Rhinolophus ferrumequinum: one gene and its partners. The protein of the gene in region 1 purifies or fractionates together with the protein of each later gene. This does not show direct contact. Links are inferred from orthologs where the notes say so. Each region holds a gene or a part of one and is shown in the gene's direction. Other genes may lie near its edges.

Region 1 (7,816 bases):
CATCTTTACAACCACACCATGTGGGAGGCCCTATTATGATGCCTGTTTTAGAACTGAGCAAGCTAAGGCCCAGAGAGGTTGTCAGGGTCACACAGCAAGAAAAGGGCAGAACTCGGTTTCTGAATTCAGGCAGTCTGGTTCCAGACCAGTGTTCTGGATCATGCTATAAAACAGCAGTGACCAAAACAGACTGAAATGCCTGCCCTCATGGAGCTGACAGTTCAGCAGGAAGTGAACAAGATAAGGAAAATACGAAGCACGGTGGATAGTGATTTCTCTTTCTGTGTGTATTTACTCCTTTCATCCACTGTCTTCCGTCCTCTCTCCTTCAATACTTCACCTGCTCCCTGTCCCTGCTGGGGTCTGCTGGCACTGCGGGTGCTGCTCCAGCTCTGGCTGGAGCCAACTTTCTTACGAGGCAGTGGGTCCTTTCTCATCCCCTGTCTGTGAGCATCTGCAGGTCCCAAGGTCCAGAGAGAAAATGGACACTCTGAGTCAGGGACAGGTGGCAACCAACCCAGCTCTGAGTTCTAGTGGAGAAACTCTCCCCTCCCTCTTTCATAGGTCTGTCCACGTAGCAATTTTCTCTCAGGTCTCTGAATCTCCCTGGTGGTTCTGTGTGTGTCTGTCCATCGCCTTCCTTGTCACCGTACCTCTATACCCCTTCCCTCCCCCTCCCCATGTTTATCTCCTCCTGCCCTGTCTTTCCCTTTCCCACTGTCTCTCCTCCCCACATTTTTTTCCTTTCTCTCACCCTCTGTCTCTCTCTACCCCACTCCCCTCCCATCTCCCCATTTCTCTTTCTCCCTCAGCACACCTTTGTATCCATCTGCTTCCTTGCCTCAGTATCACGCTCCTCAGAAATCTCACGTTGAAATTGGATTCCCAGCTACTCCCCTCCCCTATGCACTGGTCTCCCCCATGGTTGGCTGCTTCTGCCCCCTCCCCAGATTAAGGGAAGAGATGAAGGGAAAAGGTGATGGATTTAGGGGGATCTACAGAGAATTCCTAAATTCCTCTGCAACCCCCCTCCCATTTTTCCAACTCAGTCGGACTCTCTTGTATCACAGAGGAAGACAGACTGGGACCCCAGGGCCCTCCTTTTCTGGCTACCTACCCACCCACCCGGAAGTCCTCCTTGAGGTCTGATCTCTAGAACTCCAGCTGCCCTAATCCACCCTAGGCTTTCCCACGCCCCGAGGCTGGGATGAACCCCCAGTGTCCGGGTCTGAGCCGGATTTCCCTGCCAGGGCGGGGCTGAGATTGGGGGGAAAGCCCTCAGGGGACCTGCACCCCCACCCCAGGAGGCTGAAATTTCTCGCCTTTCATTTCCTTATTGTCTCTGGAGGAGGGTGTGACGACGGATCACAGGGAGGCAATGTGAAGCCAGAAGCCTAGCTTCTAGCCCCAGTCTCTACCCAGGACCTAAAGAAGCCCCCAACACTCCAGGCGGCTTCAGGGTTTCCCTCTCTGAAGTGGGGGAGCAGTTGGACCAGCTGATCTGTGGGAACTGGGGGCCAACAGGGCCACCCCAGGGTGATACCTTTCAATTTCCTTCCACACGGGGAGCCAGCCTGGGGGTGTTAATATCACCCCAGCAGGAAGGCGTGGAAGGCCAGAAGCACTTTGGGGGACCTCACAGTTCTCAGTAGCTGAGTAAGTGTGAATGTTTCTCTGTACCTTGTTCTGACCCAAGGGAAGGAGGTGGCTCAGATGATGGAAAGGCTGGGGAGACCCTCAGACAGTATTTCCATCTCCGGCCCCCCATGTCAACTCTTCCAAAATATGCCCCAAAATGCTGATCATCTCTAGACTGTCTCTCAATTTCTGACACAATGTGTCCCCTAAACTTCAGAGTGTGCCCCACATAAGGATTCCTCCATCCTAGATCTCCACATTTACTGATAAGGTGTGTCCCCCAAAACACTGATTTGTAGTTGGTTCCCTTAAATCATATTCCCAGACTCTGAACTGTCTGGAGGTTCAGCTGGGATGCCCCAATACCTGGGAGCCTTCACCTCCAACCTGGTCTCTGCCTTCTGACACCTCCAGCTGCCGATCTCCACCTCTCAACACTTCCAATCCCCCCCTCCCTGGTCGGCCTGCCCCACCCCACGTGCAGCTCACACCTTCACAGCCCCAGGACTGGCCCCTCCCAGGCACCATGCCAAGCCCCGCAGGCCCGGGGATCCGAGAGACCCACATAACAGCATCAAACCCCAGACCCAGGACTCAGGCACCTGGGAGCCCCTGTAACCCTCAGATCTCAGCCTCCTTGTAAAACTCAGACATTCAAGTTCCCCTGCCTCAAGTCCACAGTCCCCTTCCAGGTTAGGAATTTAAGTGTCCAGATCCCCCCTCCACTTCACACTGTTGAGTATAGAGACAGTGAGCTAAGGGGGAGTCCTTGCAGCAAGAGGAATGGGAGTTAGACCAGGGGAAGGACTTTCTGCCTGCTGGGGTGAGGGAAGTAAGATATACCCTGCCCCCTACTCCAGGGTGGTCTAGTCAGAGATGGGGCTAGTGAGGACATTAGCAATTACTGGAGATTACTGGAAGGAGGGTAGGGAGGTGTGAAATCTGAAACCTTCTAGCCTCCAACAGGAGAATCCCTGCTGAGGGTCTCTAACAATTAAAGCAGTGAAGTTCAGTTGGAAGGGGTGAGGGTCAGGAGTAGGGGTGGGGGTGGGGAATGGAAATCGACCCCTCCGCTGCTCTCCCGCTTCCAACTCCGATCTCATCTGGGCCCCCATCTATCTGAACCCCAACTCTAAACCACCTGTTATTCCAGACTACCAAAACTAACCTCCATCTCTTATCCTTGAGCACTAACCCTTATTTCTGACCTCATCTTAGATCGCACCCTGATCCTTATCCCTGAACCCCAATGTCCTAACCCTGAGCTCTCACCTCAGATTTCCCTTAATGGTGACCTCCCTCTGCCATCTCTTAGTTCCTGTCTTTCCCCCCAAATTTGAAGCCATTTCCTAATCCCCCAGCTCTGTCTCCTATTCTGGGAGGTCTGATTCCTAGCTTTGGTTTGTTCATTTTAATCCCTTGGATTTGGGGTCACCAACACCCAGCTCTCACGTTTAAGCTATGACCTGATCCTTACTTAAGTTTTCCTGACTCCCATTTATCGCTCACTCCGACTAGCCTGGGGTAACCGCACTCCCATGCCTGGCCCCGTCCCTGAATCCCACACCTGGTCTCCGTGTCTCTAGTTCCTTTACTCCTCAACTCTAGTTGGAGCCCCCATTCGAGCCCATACCCCAATCCTTGCCCTCATTTAAGTCCGCACCCTGATTCCTACCCCACACTTCCCGCTCCGCCATCCCCGAGGACACACCTCGCCGGCCTCCGGGTAGTAGCTCCACTCCGCCAGGTCATGGGCCTCCATCTTCACGGAGCCCAGCATCCCCCGGGCCTGCGCCCCCACCTGCCCCTGCTCCGGCCCGGGGGGAACCGAGCGCTAAGGATCTCTCAGCCGGCACGGCCCGAGTTCCAACCGGCGCCCGCCCGTCCGACTGACTGCCCAGGGTCCCAGCCGTCCCAGGCGCCGCGGGAGGCGTCCACGCTTTATAGTCGGGACACCCCCCCCCCGCCCTCGCCCGCCCCGGGCTCCCCTCCCGCCTCTCCCTGGGCGGTGCGCTCGGACTGGGGCGCCCCCTGCGGGATTGCGAGGAGATAGACCTCAGGCGCCGGGAGCCGCAGCCCGGGGACGTAAGGGCTGGAGATGGCTGAAGAGTGAGGGAGCTACTGCTGGGAGACACTGCTGATACTAAGGTCCCCGACATCAGAACTCTGGGGCCCTCCACCCCAGGGGCCCCAGACATCATCTTGACAGTAGAGGGCGAATAGCTAGAACCCAGCACGACCGCCGCGGAAGAAAGGGGCCTCAGAGCGCAGTGAACTCCTTGGATCCAGTCTGCCTCTATAAGGACCGGTAGGAGAGCCTCGAAACCACAGTCCCATTAGGTGGACTGGAATACTGAAGCTTCCGACAGCTATTAATAGAAATGCTCCGAACTGTCCAAAAGGTCAGGACCAAAGGTGGAGGAAATTGGGGCTTCTGTTCAGACTCCACTAGGGCAACAGACCACCTCCAAGACCTAGGAGCTTCGCCGCCCGTACTCTCCATTCTCGCTAATACCAGCCGTCCAGGAACTCAACCACCGTGAACTCCGTTTCCCAGAAGTCTCTGTCTCCCTTCCTGTCCCGAGCCTCTGCCAAGGGACTATATTTCCCAGAAGGCACGGCGTTCGAACGCCAGAAATGAAGAGCCACCGGGAGTATTCCGGAAGGCCGCTCGCTGGGCTAGAAATAGGGGTGGGGTCTGCCTACTGCGTGGACTCCATTTCCCGGCGACCCCGTGTGTGCGGCGCGTGCGCAGTGTCACGGCGGCGAGCGGAAGATGGCGGCGGCGGCGGCGTCTGGGAAGAGGCGCTGCTGAGGGGGCGCGAGGGGGACGGAAGCCGGAGCCGCGGTGAGCTGGGGTGGCGTGGGGGCCCGGGGACCAAGGGAGGAAGGACCCTGAAGCGGCAGGAGCGCTGGCAGAGGGATGGGGGCAGAGGAGAAGGGAGCAGTGACGTTTGGTACTCCAGTTTCTTCCCTTGCTCAGGACTCTCCCGTGGGTCCCTAGTGCCCTTAGGGCAAAGTTCCAACGTGGCCCCCAAGGCGCGTCCGTCCCGCGGCCTTGGCTCTGCCTCTGCTCATTCCTCACTTCGAATAGTTGCATTGGTCTTTCGGTTCCTCAAACTCGCCATGCGCCTTCAGGCCTCAGGATTTTTGCACATACTGTCCCCTCTGCCCGCAACATCCTTTTACCCATTCTGCCAGGCTAACTCCCATTCATCTTTCGGGTCTCTGCACCAACGTCACTTCCTCTGCGAAGCCCTCCTTTCCTGCCCTCCATCCCGAAATCCTCCTGTTAAACGCTCTCAGAGGTCCCTGTACCTTCCCTTCATGTCATGTGCCCTCTGATTTGTTATTGTACCTTTGTTTGTTTGACTATTTGATTATGTCTGTCACTGTGAGCTCCACGGAGGCAGGGACTGGGTGTATGTTGTCACTGCTGTGCTCCCAGCACAACGCCGTCACACTGAAGACACCCAGTTAATATTTGGTGAATGAATGAAAGATACTCCTGGGGCCACTGTGTAGATGAGGGGAGTCCTCACGCTCCCAGGTGGGAGGGAGGCAGTGGTACTCCATAAGGAGGACACCGAAAGGAAGGGGAAACAATGACTGTTGGTAATAGCAAAAGATTGCAAGCACCCCACATATTTTCCCCCTTCTTCCACCCCCACCCGGTTTCAAGCCGTTGTTTCTCAGTCTAGTTGTGTAGGACACAGCTCCCTGGCCCATGCTGGTGTTATGAGTCTTGCGCTCCCCCCAGCTGAGGCAGTTGGTCTCCAGTCGTCGGTCGCCTGCTCATGGCAGCTCTCGCCAGCTGCTGGCCACTCACGATGGTCCCCGGCCACTGGCTGCTCATGGCAGCACATGGTAGCCCAGCTCCAGGGAGAGCCGGTGCTCACAGTCTTAGCTGTAAAGGGCGCAGCTCACTGGCCCATGTGGGAATCGAACCGGCGACCTCGGCGTTAGGAGCACGGGTGCTCCAACCACCTGAGCCACTGGGCCGGACCCCAAACATTCTTTAGTAGAAAGACTGGCAGAAAAAAACTGATAACATCCACATGACAAAATACTATGCAACTGTAAAAAGGAACAAGGAAAATCTCTTTACACTGATATGGAGAATGGGCTCCAGCATACATTAAGTGAAAACAGATGAAAAGGAAGATGGTGTTTAATATATGCTCTTTTTATAAAAGAAAGGGAAACATGTATATACCTTACAAAGAAAATAAAAGTAGAGGGGGCAGTCAGTTAGCTCGGTTGGTTAGAGCGCAGTGCTCTTAACAACAAGTTTGCTGGTTCGATACCCACACGTATTACCATCATGAAAAAAAGGTTCACATGAAAAGCTTCATTATGTTCTGATGGGGGACAGCAGTGTGCTGGTTGTTGGGTGGCCATGAGTTGCATGAACAGATGTGGGGTCTATTAATAGAAGACCTGGTCTTATTTTCGGGGAAACACAGTAGGTAGTGTATAGATGATAATAAATGCCATGGAGAAAAATGAAACAACACAGATGGGGAGAGAAAGGAAATTGAGATTTGAAATAGGGTGGTCAAAGAAGACCTCACTGCCAAGGTAGGTGAGCTGAGACCTGAAGGAAATGTGGAGGGAGAGAGTTGTGCCAATATCTGGGAAGAGGAGTATTCCAGGCAGAAGGAAGAGAACCCCAAAGGTTTTGAGGAAGGGGCACGCTTGGCATATTCAGGGGACAAGGAGGCCAGAGTAGCTGGAGCAGAGAGAGCAGAGAGGAGCTGTGGGCAGAGATAGAAGGGACCAAATCATGTAAGGTCTTCTAGGCATTGGTGAGGACATTGGCTTTGACGCCAAGCAAGATGTGGGGGTGACAGGCAGCAGGGATACTAGGAAAGAGGATGCTGGATAGTCATTCGTCCTGCAGACACCCTCAAATTTTTGTTAACAGTTTATGTAGTATCATTCCGATCTTTTCTCATGTCTATAAAAATGCAGCTGTACTTATCTCATGTTTACTGTGTGTCCTAACTCAAGGTAGTCCTTCCTGCGAGGCAAGCACTGTGACCACCTCTGTCTCACAGAAGACAAAACTGACTCAGGTCGCTCTGTGTAGACATACGCAAACTTAACAAAAATGGATTGAATTGCACATGTTCTGTGATGTATTATTATAGCAGGCTGTGGGGGACATATTTTTACGATGATATTGCACTGAGAGCCACTCATTTCTTTTTTTGCCGTTTCCTTCCTCTTCTGCTTTTTGGTTTATCCTTTCAGTTTCTTTTCTTCTTCCTTTTTTTAAACATATACACATTTCCCTTTCTTTTGTAAAAAGGGAGCATACAGTAAACATTGTCTTCTACTTTGTTTGTTTTCACTGAATATATGCTGGAGCCCACCGATCATAAGTGTATAGAGATTTTCCTCATTCCTCCTTTTTCCCTCCCTCATTCCTTTTCGCAGCTGCATAGTGTTTTATGGTGTAGCTCTATCATACTTTTTCAGCCAGTCTTCCTCTTTGAGAACCCTTTGGGTGCTAATAGTCTTTTGCTCCTTAGTCCTGTGATTGAGATCCTTCTTATTTCATAGTTGTGCCACTGTGACTTTGGGACAGAGCCCAAAAGTTTTCCCTCCCCACCCCACCCCTTTTTGAAAACAACTCCATAGCATTTCAGAAAATGGCTGAAACATAATTTATTCAACTGAGCCTTTTCTGATGTATTGAGTACTTACTGTGAGCAGGACTCTGTGACTGGTGTGTTTTAGAAAGCTTGCTCTGGTGTCCAGTCCAGAGTACAGCCCAGATGAAGAGTCAGGAAGGCACTGCGGCCAGTGCCTTAGCTGCTGTGTGTTCATTTGTTCCGTCATTCAGCACATGTTTGTGGTCAGCCCGCTACGTATGAAGTACTGGAGGTGAGTCTTGGTGCTCCACGAGGTACTGCCTCTGACCTGAGAGACATCGATCATCCCCAAATTACAACCCCTGTGTACACTTACAATCTGAGACAGACCCTGAAGTGGAGAGGGGCTTCAGTAAACCCAACAAGGACAGGACAGGCTGGAAAAGACGTTGGAGTCCTTTGTGGATGGTGGGATGAAACTCCCAGCCCACGCACAGGCTCCCAGAGCTTGATCTATCTTTTTCTTCCCCAGGGAGTACTAGACAGCAGCCATGGCAGGCAGCAGCGGGGACAGCGTC
Region 2 (8,422 bases), on another chromosome or scaffold:
GGGAACCTTTGTGCACTGTTGGTGGGGTTGCAGATTGGTGCAGCCACTGTAGAAAACAGTATGGAGGTATCTCAAACAACTGAAAATGGAAATACCCTATGACCCAGCAATTCCACTCCTAGGTATCTATCCATAATTCGAAAAAATTTATGCACCCCTGTGTTTATTGCAGCACTATACACAATAGCCAAGACATGGAAACAACCGAAATGCCCATAGGTAGATGACTGGATTAAGAAACTGTGGTACATTTATACAATGGAGTATTATGCAGCCATAAAAAGAGTGAAGTCTTACCATTTGCAACAATATGGATGGACCTAGGGAACATTATGCTAAGTGAAATAAGTCAGACAGAGAAAGACAAATACCATATGATCTCACTTACATGTGGAATCTAAAGAAAAGCATAAATGAATGAACTAATCAGAAACAGTCTCAGAGACAGAGAAAAACTGAGGGTTGCTAGATGGGTGGGAGAGGTGGGTATAACGGGGAAGGTGAGGGGATTAGAAAGCACAATGGGTAACCACAAGATTGCCACGGGGATACGAAAGTGAATTTGGGGAACGTACTCAATAATGTTGTAAATATTTTGTAGGGTACCCGATGGACACTTGTCTCATTAGGGAGACCACTTCAGGGATGGTGTAGATGCCTGATCATTGCACTGTACACTTGAAGCTGAAGCTGAACAATAATGAATGTCAACTGCAATTTTATATACATATATAGTTACAAGAAGTGGAGTACAGCATTAAGAATAGAGACAGTGGAAATGTAATGGCTGTTTGCGATGTCAGAGGGGTAGTAGATGGGGAGAGGGGGGTTATCACTGTGGGAGGGATATAAATTATAAATGTCTAACTATTACTTTGTTTTGTACACCTGAAACTAATAAAAAAATAAAAAATAAACTCCATCAAAATGAAAAACAAATTAAAAACTTTTATGCATCAAAAAACATTATCAAATGAGTAAAAAAGCAACCCTCAGAATAGGAAAAAATATTTACAAATATTTAAAATATTTAGAAATCATATATCTGATAAAAGATTAGTATCCAGAATCTATTAAAAAACTCGTACAACTTAACAACAAATAAAACAAACAATCCAATTTAAAAAAAGGGAAAAGGACTTAAACAGACATTTCTCCAAGAAAAAAAAAAGATTTATAAATGGGCCATAAACACATTAAAATATGTTCAACCTCACTGATCATTAAGTATGAGATAACGGGGCGGCCGGACAGCTCAGTTGGTTAGAGCTCGAGCTCTTAACAAGGTTGCTGGTTCGATTCCCACATGGGCCAGTGAACTGCGCCCTCCACAACAAGACTGAAAACAATGGCTTGAGCTTGGAGCTGAGCCCACGGTGGGCGGCCGGTTGGCTTGGTGGTTAGAGTGCAGTGCTCATAACACCAAGGTCTCCAGTTCGAGTCCCACATGGGCCAGTGAGCTGCGCCCTCCACAACTAGATTGAAAAACGATGACTTTGACATGAAGCTGATAGGTCCTAGAAAAACACTGTTCCCCAATATTCCCCAGTTAGAAAAAAAAAAGTATGAGATAACAGAAATATAAATATATTGGTCTCTGCCCCCCAGTTCCTAGCACAGAGCTCCTAAAACTCTTGTACCTTCCTAAGTGATAAGAGCATTAGAAGCACCTTTTGTTCTAATGAGGCAACTCTGGGTGGATTCCTGGATGGGATGACCAAGCCATGATTAGCAGCTTAGAATTTTCAGCCCAACCCCCCCATCCTCCAGAGAGGGAACGGAGCTGGAAATGGAGTTAATAATTGATCATGGCTATGTGATGATGCCTCCATAACTGTCACAAATGGAGGGAGTTCAAAGAATTTCCAAGTGGGTGAACACATCCATGTACCAGAAGGGTCCCCAACTCCATGGGGAAAGAAGTTCCAGCAGTCGGGGCCCTCCCAGACCTCACCCTATGTATCTCTTTATCAACCCAAGTGTCCATCAATGGGTGAATGGATAAACAAAATGTAGTATATACATACAATGGGATATTATTCAGCCTTAAAAAGGAAGGAAATTCTGACACGTCACAACATGGATGAACCTTGAAAACATTATGCTAAGTGAAATAAGCCAGACACAAAAGGAAAAATAGTGTTATGATTCCACTTATATGAGGTACCTACAGTAGTCAAATTCATAGAGACAGAAAGTAGAGTGATGGTTGCCAGAGGACGGGGGTAGTGGAGAATGGGGAATTAATGCTTAATGGGTATAGAGTTCGAGTCTAAGAAAATAAAAAGTTCTGGAGATGGACAGTAATGACGGTTGCACAATGTGAATATATTTAATGCCACTGAATTGTACACTTAAAATGGGTTAAAATGGTAAGTTTTATTTTACCACAATAAAAAAATTGCATACTAAAATTATTTCCCAGGTATTATGAGAATCAAGTGAGATCTATGTGGAAAAGCTTTGTATTCTACATGGCCCTTCACAAATATTAGCTGTTTTAATCATTATTACCCTGTTAACCCCAATCTGATACCATTATCCACATGCTCTATCCAGTCATGCTCACCCAGCAGCACACTGTTGGAGTTTAAATGCTGTCCAGTGACATCCACTTTTGTTTTACTAAATTCTGGATTCCAAGTGCCAAGCCAATAGTCTCCTAGAGTTCTGGTTCTGAAACAGAACAAGTCCCCCAAAAGACTTAAGTTTTAGACAAGGTTGGTGGATTCTAAGGAAAGAACTCAGACTTCCTCCTCTTATTCTGTTTTCCCTAGTGTTTGGCTTGGAAGCAGTCCTCATTCAGCAAGAAGAGGTCACCACGCCATTGCCAAGAACAGGGGAAATCTTCCCCCAATTCAAGAGATCACCCAGCTCCTTGGCCTGCTGCCAAGCAATGTATCTTATAAGGCAGCCTTTGAGCAGGTGAAGAATTCTGAACCTTCTGGGAAAGGAATACAGAAAATGTATTCACTGAGCATGAACTGAGAGCAAAAGCAGTTAGATAAGAAATAAAAAATGAAAATGCTAAAATCAAAAGACCAGAATGACCAGCTTTGATGGACTGGACAATTCTCTGTCGAGTAGCCTCAGAGCTGAACCCTTAAATATTCCCAGAAAGTACAGATATTGCTGCAGAACCAGTGTGATAATGCAGTAGTGCAAAACTTAGGAATGATGTTTCTTTCTGGAAAGCAAACCAATTGGTACCTACGTCCAGATACAGACTAGGATCTGTTTCAGCATTCAGGTGCTCTCTGAGGGCTCCTAGTTTCCTGAGCTCTTCAGGCATTACTTACTGAGGATTTCTCCTAACATGGGTACAGTGCCATCTGGAATCTTTTTCATGCCATGATGTCTGTCCAGGAGTTGCTGCCTTCCCAGATATTCCCTGGAGGAACAATGAGGGATTTCATTCCATGACTCTTTGAGGAGCTTTAAATGTGGGTCAAACATGAAGTAGTACTTAACCAGCCTTGGAAGTTTGACCTTCTATGGTCAGAAGAAAGAACCCAAGTCTCTGGGCCCTCACAATTCTGAACGTCTTTGCTTGCTTCAATTGTACATTATCTAAGATTCTTAGTGTCATCAACAAGATTGGATAAGAACTCAGAACTTTTCCACAAAACTTCCTGCCAATGACCCACAAATCTTGCCTGTGATTTCCCAAATTCTTTGATTCTCCGCTACATACAAAGCCTTTCTCTTCTGCTTAAGGCCCCCAAATAACACCTATCCTATATATTTAGTCCGTTTTGTGTAGTAATGTACCTTTCCTAGTTTTCCTCCTACCTCTTCATACTGTACCTGTATCATTGTGTTAAATGAGGCCAAGCCATAATACCTACAACAGTGTCAGACGTCCCATCTTCCGTCTTTATTTTGCTATAACTGGAAGGCAAAGGAAATGTGTCACTTTGGGAGTGTCACAGTGAAGTTTCCCAAGACTCTCATGGACAAAAGACACTGAGGATGGGGTCACTAGCACATTGCCTATAAGTGAAACTCAAATATAAAAAAGCAAAACTTAGGAAATATTCCTTGCACACACCTCCTCTTTTATAACCAGTAGAGTAGGGTTGGTTGATGAAATGATAGAACCAACAGTAAGTTCTCCACAGATGATTAATCGCAGCAGAACAAGCTCTGGCTAAGTGCTTCAACCTAGTCTTGGGTGGTTTATTATATTGTGAGTCATTGACCCAACATCCTCAGGTCACATGCTCTAAGTTCTTTTCCAGCAATGGTAATATGTTGAGCCACCCATATTCTCTCAGTTATCCTGGGAGGCAATAAATACAGCAGTAAGCGTTCAGTCTCTGGAGCCAAAGCAACCTGAGTTCAAATCATGCTTTAGCTGCTTGTTGTGTACCACCGGTCAATGATGTTTCCTGTTCTGATGTTTTCTGAAACCCTGCCGGCCAATGTCCTCGGCCACCCCGCCCCGCCCCGCCCCCATTACCAGAAACATGGAGCCCAGGGGCTAGACCAGCGTAGACGTGGGTCTGTTCTCCCTTTACCTCCCCATCTGCTCAGCTATGTTAACGCCTTAACGTTGAGTGCCCCTCACTCTCTTATTCTCTAGGCTGCTGCGATTTTCTTTCCCCATCGCACTCCGTAAACTCACAGTATTTGCAAAATGACAATGTGCACGCCGCTGGGGCGCGGCCAAGCATTTCCCTCCCCCAACAGGGCGTAATTAAAATGAAAGTGCCATGGTTGTTAGCAAATGACTTCTCTGTTACTATGGTAAAGCCACTGCTTCCATCTTTATTGTGGTCGACAATTACTTGCGTTAGCCTAAGTAAAACATGAACAATAAAGGCTTCAAATTAGCCTGGGCCTACCCGAATCCGACCGTGAACGACAGGCGGCAGCCCTGCCCGGAAGGGTTAATGTTCTCTTGGAAGTAACGTGCGCGGCCTGTGACGGAATGACGCCAGGGGAGGGGGCCCTGCGTCCGCCGGGCCAGGTGTTTCCGGTTCACGCACAATACGGAAGCCTGTTGGGCGCTGGAGGCACGCGCCTTACGGAAGAGTGCCCTGGCGCACCGGAAGCCTCGGGAGAAGAGCGATGGCGGGTTTGACTGTGAGAGACCCTGCGGTGGATCGTTCGCTACGTTCAGTGTTCGGTGAGAGGAATTCGGTGGAACCAAGCATGGGGAAGGGACAGAAAGAGGCAGTGAGCGGCGAGGAACGCCCCCTGCATCTCATGAATCGACGCGGGAACCGGTGATGGGGCCGGCGTGCAGCTCTCCCTGCCTCCTGTGCGGCGGGCAAGCTGGTGGACTCGTGGGCAAAGGGATGCTCCCCTTACTCCGAGGTTTTGCAGCCCTACCACGATGTGGCTGAGGAAGTTAAACTAGCGTTCAACTTCTATGCGTTTCTCCTTTCACGAGCTTCAATTTTCTAGAAGCGAATGCGCATGGCAGCTGTCCCCTACTACTTCTCATCCCCTCTCCCAGAATACAGATTATGTGCTGGGATCCTTGTGTCCACTTCCCGCTCGCTCCTAACGACTTTAATCCTCTGCTTTTAGCCCGTAACATTTTAGTTCGTTGGTAGTGGTAGCGGCAATCTGGCGTCTTAAGGTGGATTGTAAATAAATGAATGAATGAACGATTAAGACCTCGTCGAAGAAATTTTAAAGAGGATCGAATCTATTCTAAGGAATCTTTTCAGCCGAAATAAGTTGTGTTTTTAAAGTATGTGTGGTGATTTTAAATCACTTTTTGGAAGGGACATGACAAAACACTTAAGAATAATTATTAAACATCTTCCACTACTTCCACGATCATTCTCCTTTGAGTGTGTGTGGGGGGTGGGGGAGTAATCCGGACATATGAGCCGGTTTTAAGAATTAAAATGTTGCTATTTTTAGTAGTTACTGATAAGACGTGCAGCCCTTCAGGTAAATAGCAATGCCTAAGTATTTTTCACCAAAGTTAAGGAAAATCCAACACTTGTCAGATCAGTCTGAGAATTGATAAAGGTGTTTAGAAATGTCTACACCTTTTGTATTTAGTTTCAGTGGTTTATTTCTCTTGCAATTAAAGTTAGCCGGCGAGATTGAAATCTTGGAACTGGGATTGGAGGAGCACTGTATTTTGAGCAAGTTGTCACATTTTCTGATATAAATAGGTACTGTATTTTCTTAATAAAGATGTAGGTTACAAACTCAGAATTTTAATGTTACCTATTTTCTTAGTGGGGAACATTCCATACGAGGCTACTGAAGAGCAATTAAAGGACATCTTTTCTGAAGTTGGACCTGTTGTTAGTTTCAGGTGAGGTTCCTTTTCACTACCTGGTGGGAGTTTCTTTAAAAATCATCACAAAATTTGGCCCTTAGTAATTATGACAGGGTTTATACTGGTGACTTTTCACATGCATTCTCCTTTGTTTGTTTGTTTGTTTGTTTGTAACAGCTTCATTGTGATATAATTCACATACCATGCAATTCCCATTCATTTTTACTAAAAGATAGATTTCTTTAAATGTATGTGGGTATGGGCAGGTGGCATTCAAAGTGCATGCCATTTTCAAATATGCCCAGACTTCTACTCTCCGCTAGGCACTTTTGTGTTTCCGATGCACGTGTTCAGCTTCAGGGTCAGCCAGGTATGTGTAACTGGTTTGGGTTTCCTGCAGAATCTGCTGCATGTGCTCATAGTCAAGCCAAAAAAAATATGCTCTCTCCAACAAGGATTACAACCTCATGCTAGTGGAGCTGTGAGCATTCCCTACTCCACCGCCCCTATAATTGTTACTTCTACAGACAACACTGCTGGGTGAAGGCTTTTCCCACCACACCAAATTGCGCAAGCCCCTTCACTAGTCACAGAGAAGTTACTGGTCGTTATGACCTGTCCTGCCCTGGAAAATCTTCTTGTCAACTGAGCTGGGGGAGGGATTCATTTTTTTAAAAAAAATGTTTATGCATGTCAACTGTAATTGGTAAATTAAAAAAGAAGTGTTTAAAAAATATTTCAGTGAGTGATAAGGTTATTTGTCTTACAGTTGACCAAATTGGAATATGGCAATGTTAGCAGGAACCCTGTGTGTATGTAACATTTGTGCCTATACTTGGTTGTGCTCTCCAGGTTGGTATATGATAGGGAGACAGGAAAGCCAAAGGGTTATGGCTTCTGTGAATACCAAGACCAAGAGACAGCACTTAGTGCCATGCGAAACCTGAATGGGCGTGAATTCAGTGGGAGAGCACTTCGAGTAGACAATGCTGCCAGTGAAAAGAACAAAGAAGAGCTGAAGAGTGAGTATAAACCCAAGTTGTATGCAACACGAGTTAGTAAAGATGTAATAATGAAGATTTTCCATTTATGATATGTTTTAGCATCTGCTGAAATGGTTACCCACTCAGCTTCTTTACTTGACCCACCTAAGGTGTTTGCGTTAGGGAAGTGTATATCTTTGAGAAACAAGGTAAAGTTGACTTTAGAAGTCCTTCAGTTGCCAAGGAGTTGATTCCAGTTGAAGATGAATTCAGGCTCACCAAGTGATTAGTGCTAACTAGGTCGTTGGTGTTTGCCACTCCTGTAACTATGTGGCCAGATCTGTATGTGGTGGGGATATTAGCATTCTTACGGCTTTTTTTTTTTTTAATGAGGTTTATAGATCCAGGAATTCCATTTTGATATTAGCATATTTTTCTGTTTAAACCTTTTGCTTCTGAAATGGCTTGCCAAAGAAAGTTAATGTGCCTAATCCCTAATTTAGGTTAACATTGTCCACCTATGTGATCCTGGTCCCAGCTTTACTCTTGAGAACAGAAAATGCATTCTGTCACTTTCCTCCACAGAAGTAAGAGAGTTGGAAATCATTTATTTCTGAGCTCTAGAGAATTTAAAGTTATCAGTGTGTCCTTAAACAGCCCTGGAAAGTAGATTCTTGAAATGATTTATTTCTTTATTTTGCCTCCTTAACTTTTTCGTACTTTCTTCCTAATCAGGTCTTGGCACTGGTGCCCCCGTCATTGAGTCACCTTATGGAGAGACCATCAGTCCTGAGGATGCCCCTGAGTCCATTAGCAAAGCAGTTGCCAGTCTTCCACCAGAGCAGATGTTTGAGCTGATGAAACAAATGAAGGTGGGAGGGGGATTAAGTTATGAATAAATCCAATCACATCAAATTCTCAAGAGTTAATTAATAAACTTAATGGAAATGATTTCCTGAGCTCAAATAGAAGGCGTGCCTGTTGACCACCATTTCTTGCACCTTCAATATTCCATGTGTGCCTGGTGTGTTTTATATTTCATGCAGAGAGCTTTCCATTCTTGTGCACAAACACACCAACACCGTCTGGCTGTATTTCTGTGACCCATAGCTAACAGATGTAGATAGTAAAATGTGGCTTTTTCCCTAAATGATAATGTGGTATTTGAAATGCCTCTTCTCTTGCCTGC
Region 3 (7,636 bases), on another chromosome or scaffold:
GCGACTAGCTTCCTCCAACTGCAAACCCCCTTGGCCCACGGCTGTCTTTGCCCCATCCCCACCCCTAAACCATCCCCCTTCAAATCCCGGCTTCACTCCTTTGTTTTTTTTCATCCATGCATTCAACCAGTAGTTACTGAGTCCTACTATGTGCCAGGCAAGATCTATCTGCTGAGGCTATAGCTGAGAACAAGATGGAGCTCCCTCAAGCAGCTTATCCTCTGGTGCGGAAAGACAGACATCAAATGAGATGACCAAGAAAAATACATAGTATGTGGAATGTGCTATGAACAACAATGAAGCAGTAAGTGCCAGAAGGGTATAGGAGATTCAGGGTTAGATATGCCAGCCAAGCAGGGCCTCATCCACAGGGTGACAGGTGACCAAAGATGTGAAGGAGGTGAGGGAAGAAGCCCCTTTGCTATCTGACGGTATGGCCAGAGCAAAGGCCCTGAGGCAGGAGGACGCCTGGGAGCAGAGAGGAGACGGGGGTGGCTGCAGCACAGTACATGGGGGAGGAGGCCAGCGAGGGCTGAAGAGTGGTGGTAGCAGACCTCGCTGGCTTCATAAGCCATTGTGAGGACTCTGGCTTCTCTTTGTTTATTTCTCAACTTTTCATTACGGAAAATTTCAAATATACACAAAAGTAGAGAGAAGAGCTAACTACAACAATTATTAACATTTAGACAGTCTTGTTTCATCTACACCCTGCACTTCTCCTCCAAACAGAATTTTTTAAAGCAAATTCCAGACATCATTTCATTCATAAAATCTTCAACATGTACCTCTAAGAGAATTGTAAACAAACGAATGTCATTATCAATACTTAAGAAAGTGAATACCTTCAACATCACTGACTACACTGGAAATTTTGGAGAAGAGTTAATGCTATCTGCTTTCTGCTTTAACTGGAAAGTTCTATGCTGTGAGCTGACATCAAGGCAGAAGGTGGCAAGAGCAGTGGGGAGCCCAGTAACCAGGATAACAGCTGTGAGGGCAAGGAGCAGGCTAAGCCTGGGCGGGCATTCAGGGGTGGGATTGTGAGAAGTGTTAGGACTGACAACATTTTGAAGTTGGTGAGAGAAAGAGAAGAGTTAGGAATAACCTGAAAGCATTTGGCCTGGGCAGACGGAATAATGCGGTTGCCAATTAGTAAGATGAAGAAAGTGCAGGGAAAACAAGGTTGGCAACAAAAATTTCAGGTCCATGTGGGTAAGTGGAAGGGAGATGGTGAGGAGGTAACTGGATACACAGATCGGGAGTCCCCGGGAAGTCCAGGCTGGAGATACAAATACAAGAGCTGCAGTGAAGGGGGGCACTGAAAGCCAGGGGGCTGGCGGGTCACCTGGTACAGCACCCAGGTGAGGAAAGACAGAGGAGAGAAGAGCCGTGAGCATCCCAACCTTTAGAGATTAAGAAAGCAAAGTGGCCCCTCACAAAGTACTGGGCTACCGTCAATGGAGGAGCCAGGAGCAGCAGAATCCAAAAGTTCCCTCACCTTCCCTTCCTTGATCAGGTGTTTGCACTGAAAGAAGTACCAGTAAGGGGTGTTTCTCCGGCCTTGCCATGATTTTGGATCCAGTTCGTTTTCTTCATCTTCTTTAACACTCTGTTCCCTGAGCCGTAGGTTATACAACTGGGCCGTTGATTTGCGGAACATTCTCCGAGAAGAGTATTTATCGGAAAGGGTCCCAAAACTCTCCTCCTCCTCTTCCTCCTGGTTGGCCATGGGGCTGGGCTGGCTCAGGTCAGAGCTGCGGTTGTGCGTGTTCTTCTGGCTCCCCTGGCTGAGGGGCAACTGAGAGGGCGAGCTGCTGAAGGCTGCTGATGTTGGCCCAGTCGGCCCCATGGCCCTCAGCCAAGCAGGCCCCTCCCTAGCTCCTGCCCACCTGGCTCGTAGAGGGTCAAGGCATTGCAGGACAGACAGTCCCATGGGGCGGGGGCTGGAAAAGAGCCGGGAGAGTCTCACAAGGTCCATCTCTGGCTTTTACCTCCAGGGCCTGGCACAGGTCAGAAAAATATTGAAGTTAACTCAGGTTCATAGTCCAAAAAAGGCAGAAAGACAGAGAAGTGGTCATAAGCATGAGCCCTGAGGTTAGAAAGCCTATGTTCTGACTTCAGTTCTGCCAAACAACCATCCATGAGTCCCTGGGCACTCAATGCTCTAGCCTCAGTCTCCTTGCCTGTAAATTGGGGTTAACTATAATGTCACCCACACAACACTATAGCAATGATTGAAGTCTCAGATATACAGTGTGCAGCACAGTGCTGGCACATTAGGCACTCAACAGACATAAGCTACGGATATTATCAAACTATGATCAAAGAGCACGGTGCTGAAATCACAGCTGAGTTTGAGTCCTAGCCAGAGCTGTGTGTCTATGCCTATTACTTGACATCTCTGTGTCTCAATTTCTTCAGCAGCAAGGTAAGGATAACCCCACTTGCCTCAGCACGAGATTATAAGGACTAATGATATATTTTTAACACAATACCTGACAGTTAATAGGTGTTCAAAAAATTGCAGCTATTAATCATTTAATATTAGGAAAAAAATTGTTGGCATTTTGGGCCTCTGCACAGGAAAGCTAACTCAAGCACTTCTTTTCTGCAAGTCGTAGACAAATGGGCTAGAACTGTGCTGTCCAATATGGTAGCCACTGGCCACATGTGGCTGCTGAGCACATGAATACAGCTAATCTGGAGATATGCTAAAAGTACAAAATACACATCAGATTTCAAAGGCTTTGCACACAAAAAAATCAATGTAAAACACACACACAATTATTTTACATGTTGAAATGATAACATTTTGGATACACTGGGCTAAAGAAAATTTAACATTAATTTCACAATTTTTTTTACTTTATTTAATGTGGCTACTTGAAAATTTAAAATTACATAGTGGTCACATTATATTACTACTGGACAGTACTAGGCCAGAGGTCCTGCTCTGTATACTTAAAACTCTTTCATAAAAAAATATCAGAGTAACCATTATGAAAATATTTTAAGGCCTGGTTATATCAGATCACCACTGGAAAGACCTCAGAGGTGACGGCAGACTAATAACTGAGGCCCAGGTAGGGAGTGACATGCTGGGGGCCCTGCAGCAGTGCTGTGGGCAAGGCTGGCCAGCGGTGGAAATGGGCTGGCTTTGAGCCCAGGTCAAGGACGGCCTCTCTTGACTAGCGCCCTAGAGACACTAGTGCAGAGGGCCTTCACCATTCCATGGCTGGTGAGGCCTGCGACTCCAATAGAAAGACTCCAATAGAAACAATGGTAGCATATATGTAATCTTAAAATTTCAACTAGCCACATTAAATAAAGTGTTTACATGCATTAAATGAAATACATAAGATAACAAAAAAAAATCGAGATAGGTATCAGATGTCTTAAAAACAAACTTAACGCTATACTAGGTATATAAGCTTCTTTTCAACACACTAAAACAAGATCCTATCTATCATCCTGTTAAAGTAGTAATGAGTGGAAATGATAGCTTGTAGTAGTTGCACATACTCTATCTCCAACTATCCTTTACACGCATCACCACTTGAAATCACAACTTCGTCTTGGAGTTTTGGGCACTGCTAACGCTACTCGTTAGTCGGGAAAGGAAATGCTCAATTTCACAGAGACAATAAAGGTGTAATTTTCCTACCCAAGTTCATTAATCTCCCTAGGCTAAGAACCACTGAATTAGAGATACGCTGCCGCTGTTCTCCCTTGGGGGACCAGCCCCTCCCCAGACATTCCTGGAGCCTCAGGCCAACCCAACCCCTCCACACTGATCTTTAGAACCTCGGTTTCCTCACGGGACGCCCCGGGCTCAACGCCGGCAGTGACACTCGCTGCCCCTCTGGTCTGTCCCCGCCCAGGTTCCACGCTCCGGTGAGGATCAAATAGGAACTCACTCCGAGTCCAGGGCAGTGAACACGGCCCCGATGTCCGCGCCGCGTCGCCCGACTCCGGGTCCGCGTCCCCAACCCGCCCCTCCGTGCTTCTGACTCCCCTTCCCCGCCCCCCTCTCCGAGGCGCGGAGTCCCAGCCAAACCTCGCGCAGGCGCAGTCTACGTTGCGAATTCCCTGCGCCTATAAGTTATTCGCGACCGCGAGGTGAGACGCGGGTTTGGCTGGCGGCTGGCAGGGCCTAGCGGAGCGGCCCGTACTCCGCGCTCGATTGGTCCGGTCTGAACAGGCGAGAGGCAGGCGCGGGCTCTGGGCGCTCCCGGCATTCCGCGGGCGGCGGCGGCGGTGGCGGCGGCGGCGGCGGCGGCGAGGCGAGGCGGAGGAGGACCGTGTGCGGTGGCGGGTGGCAGGTAGAGGTGTGAGAGCGGCGAGGTACTGAGGGGAGCCGGGCCGGTGGGGCCGCCGCCGCCGCCATGCAGGAAATCATCGCCAGCGTGGACCACATCAAGTTCGACTTGGAGATCGCGGTGGAGCAGCAGCTCGGGGCGCAGCCGCTCCCCTTCCCCGGCATGGACAGTGAGCGTGGGGCCGGGGCGGGCAGGCGAAGGGTGCGACCGACTCGGACCTGGGACCCGACCCCGTGGACTCATGACCCCACCCCCTCGGTCCTCGGACTTGGACTCGGGTCTTTGATCCCCTGGGACTAGTTTAAGACAAACTTCAGGAGGGCAAGACCTAGTCTGGCTGTTCAAATAATTCTTGAATGAAGGCGGGTACTCTGGGTTGAAAATCCTTCCCCCACCCCCGCACACTCCCCGCCTGCAGGAAAATACCGTATAACTCTCTTCCCCCCTCCAGCCCCCTACTGTGAGCGAGCTCCCTCTTCTTGCTCTCGTCAGAGCTGAGTCTGGAGGAGTCTGGCTGAGGGAAGGAACTCCTCTGTAGGATATCCTCAGTTAGACTCTCAAGCTCCTTTCTCCTAGGACGCACACTCCTGCGAGCCTGTCTCTTTTTCTCTGGACCCCAATTCTGAGTCGTTCATCATACCCTGGCAGCTGCCTGCGCTCCCCCCACTGTTGATAGCACTAGCTTGAGGCTGTGGAACCATCCATGCAGGACAGCTCTTTCCATCCCACCTGTCTCTAGCCTGGGACCACAGATACTGGAGTCTGTGAGGGCAGGCGCAGTGGTGAGGGGCCCACAGACCTGTTTCTAGGGAGGGTCAAGGACATAACTAGCCACGGGTGCTGCCCTGACTGGCCTCAGACTTGGTAGCTGCCCTCAGCGCACTGCCTGCCAGTGATCAAGTCCAGTGTGTTAAAGCCCAGGGAGGCCACAGGCCCTGTCCCTGAACTTCATTTCTTAGTTTGGGGAAGAATTGTCTGTTCTGCCCTGGAGGCATATTCTTTTATTCTGTCTGCCTGACACCCAGTCCCCAGGACTGGGGACTTCGGGCTTTAAGGAATGAAGGAAGCAACCCTAACTCTTTTTTGTGAGACATTTTGAAATGCAAATGAGTGACAGCCCAGGACTCCCAGTTCCACAGCCGTTAAGTCTCTCCCAGCAAAATATGCCTGCTCCCGAGAAACCAAGGAATCTCTCGCAAGTTAGCAAGAAGAGGCACGGAAGTGGCCTTCAGAGATGCTGTCTGTAGGTTTTCAGCAATTCTGAAATGCCCTGTGAGAGAGAAAACTGTTTATGACACCGGAAGGTTTACTCTGATAGCAGGGGTAGTCCTGGGCGCATTGGAACAGCCTGTCCCCTGAGCCCACTGACTTCCATTGCGCTCACTCAGCCTCTGTTCTCTTGCTCCCCTCATCTGAACTAGCTGCATCTGTGGAAGCAAAAGACTGCCCCTTTAATAATTGTGTGTTGCTGCTGCATATTAAGAGCAGTCCTACTTCTGTATCTTCAATTATGCTCTCCCCGCCCAAATAGCATCTCTCTGGAGCCTGTCCGTCCTCGGTCCACATTCGCTTGTGTTTCCTGTGAGATCATTCCCTCCTTCTGCCTCACGTTAAATTAGCCCTCTGGAATGTCCAAGCACAGTGTAATTAATTTCTGTGATCTTGTGCTCCATCCTTCCTTCCCCCACACACGCTTGACTCCTTGAAAGCATCTTTATTGTAGGAAGCTCTCAGCCCTGAATAATGATTACTCTCAACAATATGTCTCATTTTACGGGGAGTGACTGAAATAAGCAACTTTCTTCTTGCTTGGTTTGGCTTTGCATTTTTTTTGCCAGTCTGTTACCTATACCATGAACCCTTAGTGGGTTAAAGACCAGAACAGTTCCCTCCCCCATCTTCAGATGTTACCAGTAGTAATCCTACGTTGCTTTGATTGACGCCTCTCCTATTCTCTCCTTTCTACAGAGTCAGGGGCTGCTGTCTGCGAATTCTTTTTGAAAGCAGCCTGTGGCAAAGGTAAGAGACCCCTGGCTCCCTGGGGGATGTTCCTTCCACCACCCTAGCCCTTAGCAGACTTGCAGGCCATCAGGTCTCTAGCTTACATGGCTTTCTGCAGACAATGTCCCTAGATGAAATTGTGGTTTGGGTAGGCTAGGTACATGAGAACATGATGGAGTGTTTTGCCTGAAACCTAAAACACAGGATGGAAGCTGGCTCTGAATTGGCCTTCTCATCTCACTTTCCCTGTGGCCACAAGCTGACCTATGACATGAACAGAAGCGCCTAGTACTGAGATGCTCAGGCACTTTCTCACAGTCACAGAGTTAGTGAGTGATTGAGCCCAGTGTTTGAATCCAGGCCTTTCTGGTTCTACGGAGTCGACACGGGCTCACTGTCCTTTGTGTCCTCTCATCAAAAAACCCCATGATAGTGTCTCGTGGAGTCACGTTCATACTAACCAGGGCCCAACAGAGGCTGCATGAGCCAGACTACCTATCCATTAATTCATAAGAAGTCTCGCAGGGCAGGACCTTACATACCATGTAGAGGTCTGGGCATCTTTCTTCCTATAAGCAATTTTAATCACAAGCTTAAATAGGGAGCACAGAATTAGAGCAAGTTTCTTTTTTATGGCTGATTTTGGCAAGTTTGGGTTCTATAACTCAGTCATTTACAACTGAAGCAATAGACCTATCAAGTGGATCCACCCGGTTGACCTCTGGTGTCTAGTTGGAACATCATCGCCCCTGGGCTGGTTTCATGGCCACGTCCTTGCTTGGTAATTGTGCCTTTCTGACCTGCCACCATCTGTCCTTAACACCAGCAATATGCCAGTCTCTTTGTTAACTAATACAGTAGCCACTAGTTACATGTGGCTATTAAAATTTAAATTAGTTAAAATTAAATAAAAATGCAGTTCTTCAATCACACTAGTCACATTTTAAGTGTTTTATAGCCACGTGTGGCTACTGGCTGCCATACTTGACAGCATAAATATAGAATGTTGCCACCATTGCAGAAAGTTGGCAGTGGGTGGGTCTAGATCTTTTCCAGTCACAGCCTCATTCTAGTCAGGCCTTCCCAGTAGTCCTGCCAGGCCACTGTTTAGAAATATGACTTTCGCAGATATAGCTCTGTCACATCCGGATGGATGATCGCTCAGGTCCGGCTATAGAAGGCAGACCTCCCCGAGTTTGTATACAATGCATTTCTTTAATTCTATACTTGATCTTCTTAGTTCGTGAAGGTTAAGTGGGAACTTCTAACTAAAGATGGAGCCCGCCTGGAGTCCAGGCTTCTGGTGGTCCTCTACC

What was found. Proteins that work in one complex are often made in the same cells at the same time.
Region 2: the proteins of SYMPK (region 1) and CSTF2 purify together in Homo sapiens (affinity purification with mass spectrometry; 4 studies listed by BioGRID and IntAct, with this or other methods). This does not show direct contact. The link is inferred for Rhinolophus ferrumequinum from reciprocal best matches to the Homo sapiens genes SYMPK and CSTF2.
Region 3: the proteins of SYMPK (region 1) and CPSF4 purify together in Homo sapiens (affinity purification with mass spectrometry; 4 studies listed by BioGRID and IntAct, counting the BioPlex papers as one, with this or other methods). This does not show direct contact. The link is inferred for Rhinolophus ferrumequinum from reciprocal best matches to the Homo sapiens genes SYMPK and CPSF4.

The regions. Positions count from the first base shown.
Region 1 is NC_046298.1:42,117,714-42,125,529, reverse strand, and holds the start of SYMPK (symplekin), read left to right. Parts: upstream 1-4,372; 5' UTR 4,373-4,486; intron 4,487-7,770; 5' UTR 7,771-7,789; coding exon 7,790-7,816. Other genes in the region: FOXA3 (hepatocyte nuclear factor 3-gamma), read right to left, coding at 3,350-3,418. UniProt on the Homo sapiens protein: Scaffold protein that functions as a component of a multimolecular complex involved in histone mRNA 3'-end processing. Specific component of the tight junction (TJ) plaque, but might not be an exclusively junctional component. May have a house-keeping rule.
Region 2 is NC_046284.1:53,627,127-53,635,548, reverse strand, and holds the start of CSTF2 (cleavage stimulation factor subunit 2), read left to right. Parts: upstream 1-5,019; 5' UTR 5,020-5,073; coding exon 5,074-5,131; intron 5,132-6,207; coding exon 6,208-6,286; intron 6,287-7,102; coding exon 7,103-7,272; intron 7,273-7,968; coding exon 7,969-8,105; intron 8,106-8,422. UniProt on the Homo sapiens protein: One of the multiple factors required for polyadenylation and 3'-end cleavage of mammalian pre-mRNAs. This subunit is directly involved in the binding to pre-mRNAs.
Region 3 is NC_046290.1:89,660,358-89,667,993, forward strand, and holds the start of CPSF4 (cleavage and polyadenylation specificity factor subunit 4), read left to right. Parts: upstream 1-4,233; 5' UTR 4,234-4,385; coding exon 4,386-4,488; intron 4,489-6,287; coding exon 6,288-6,338; intron 6,339-7,636. Other genes in the region: PTCD1 (pentatricopeptide repeat-containing protein 1, mitochondrial), read right to left, coding at 1,499-1,978. UniProt on the Homo sapiens protein: Component of the cleavage and polyadenylation specificity factor (CPSF) complex that play a key role in pre-mRNA 3'-end formation, recognizing the AAUAAA signal sequence and interacting with poly(A) polymerase and other factors to bring about cleavage and poly(A) addition.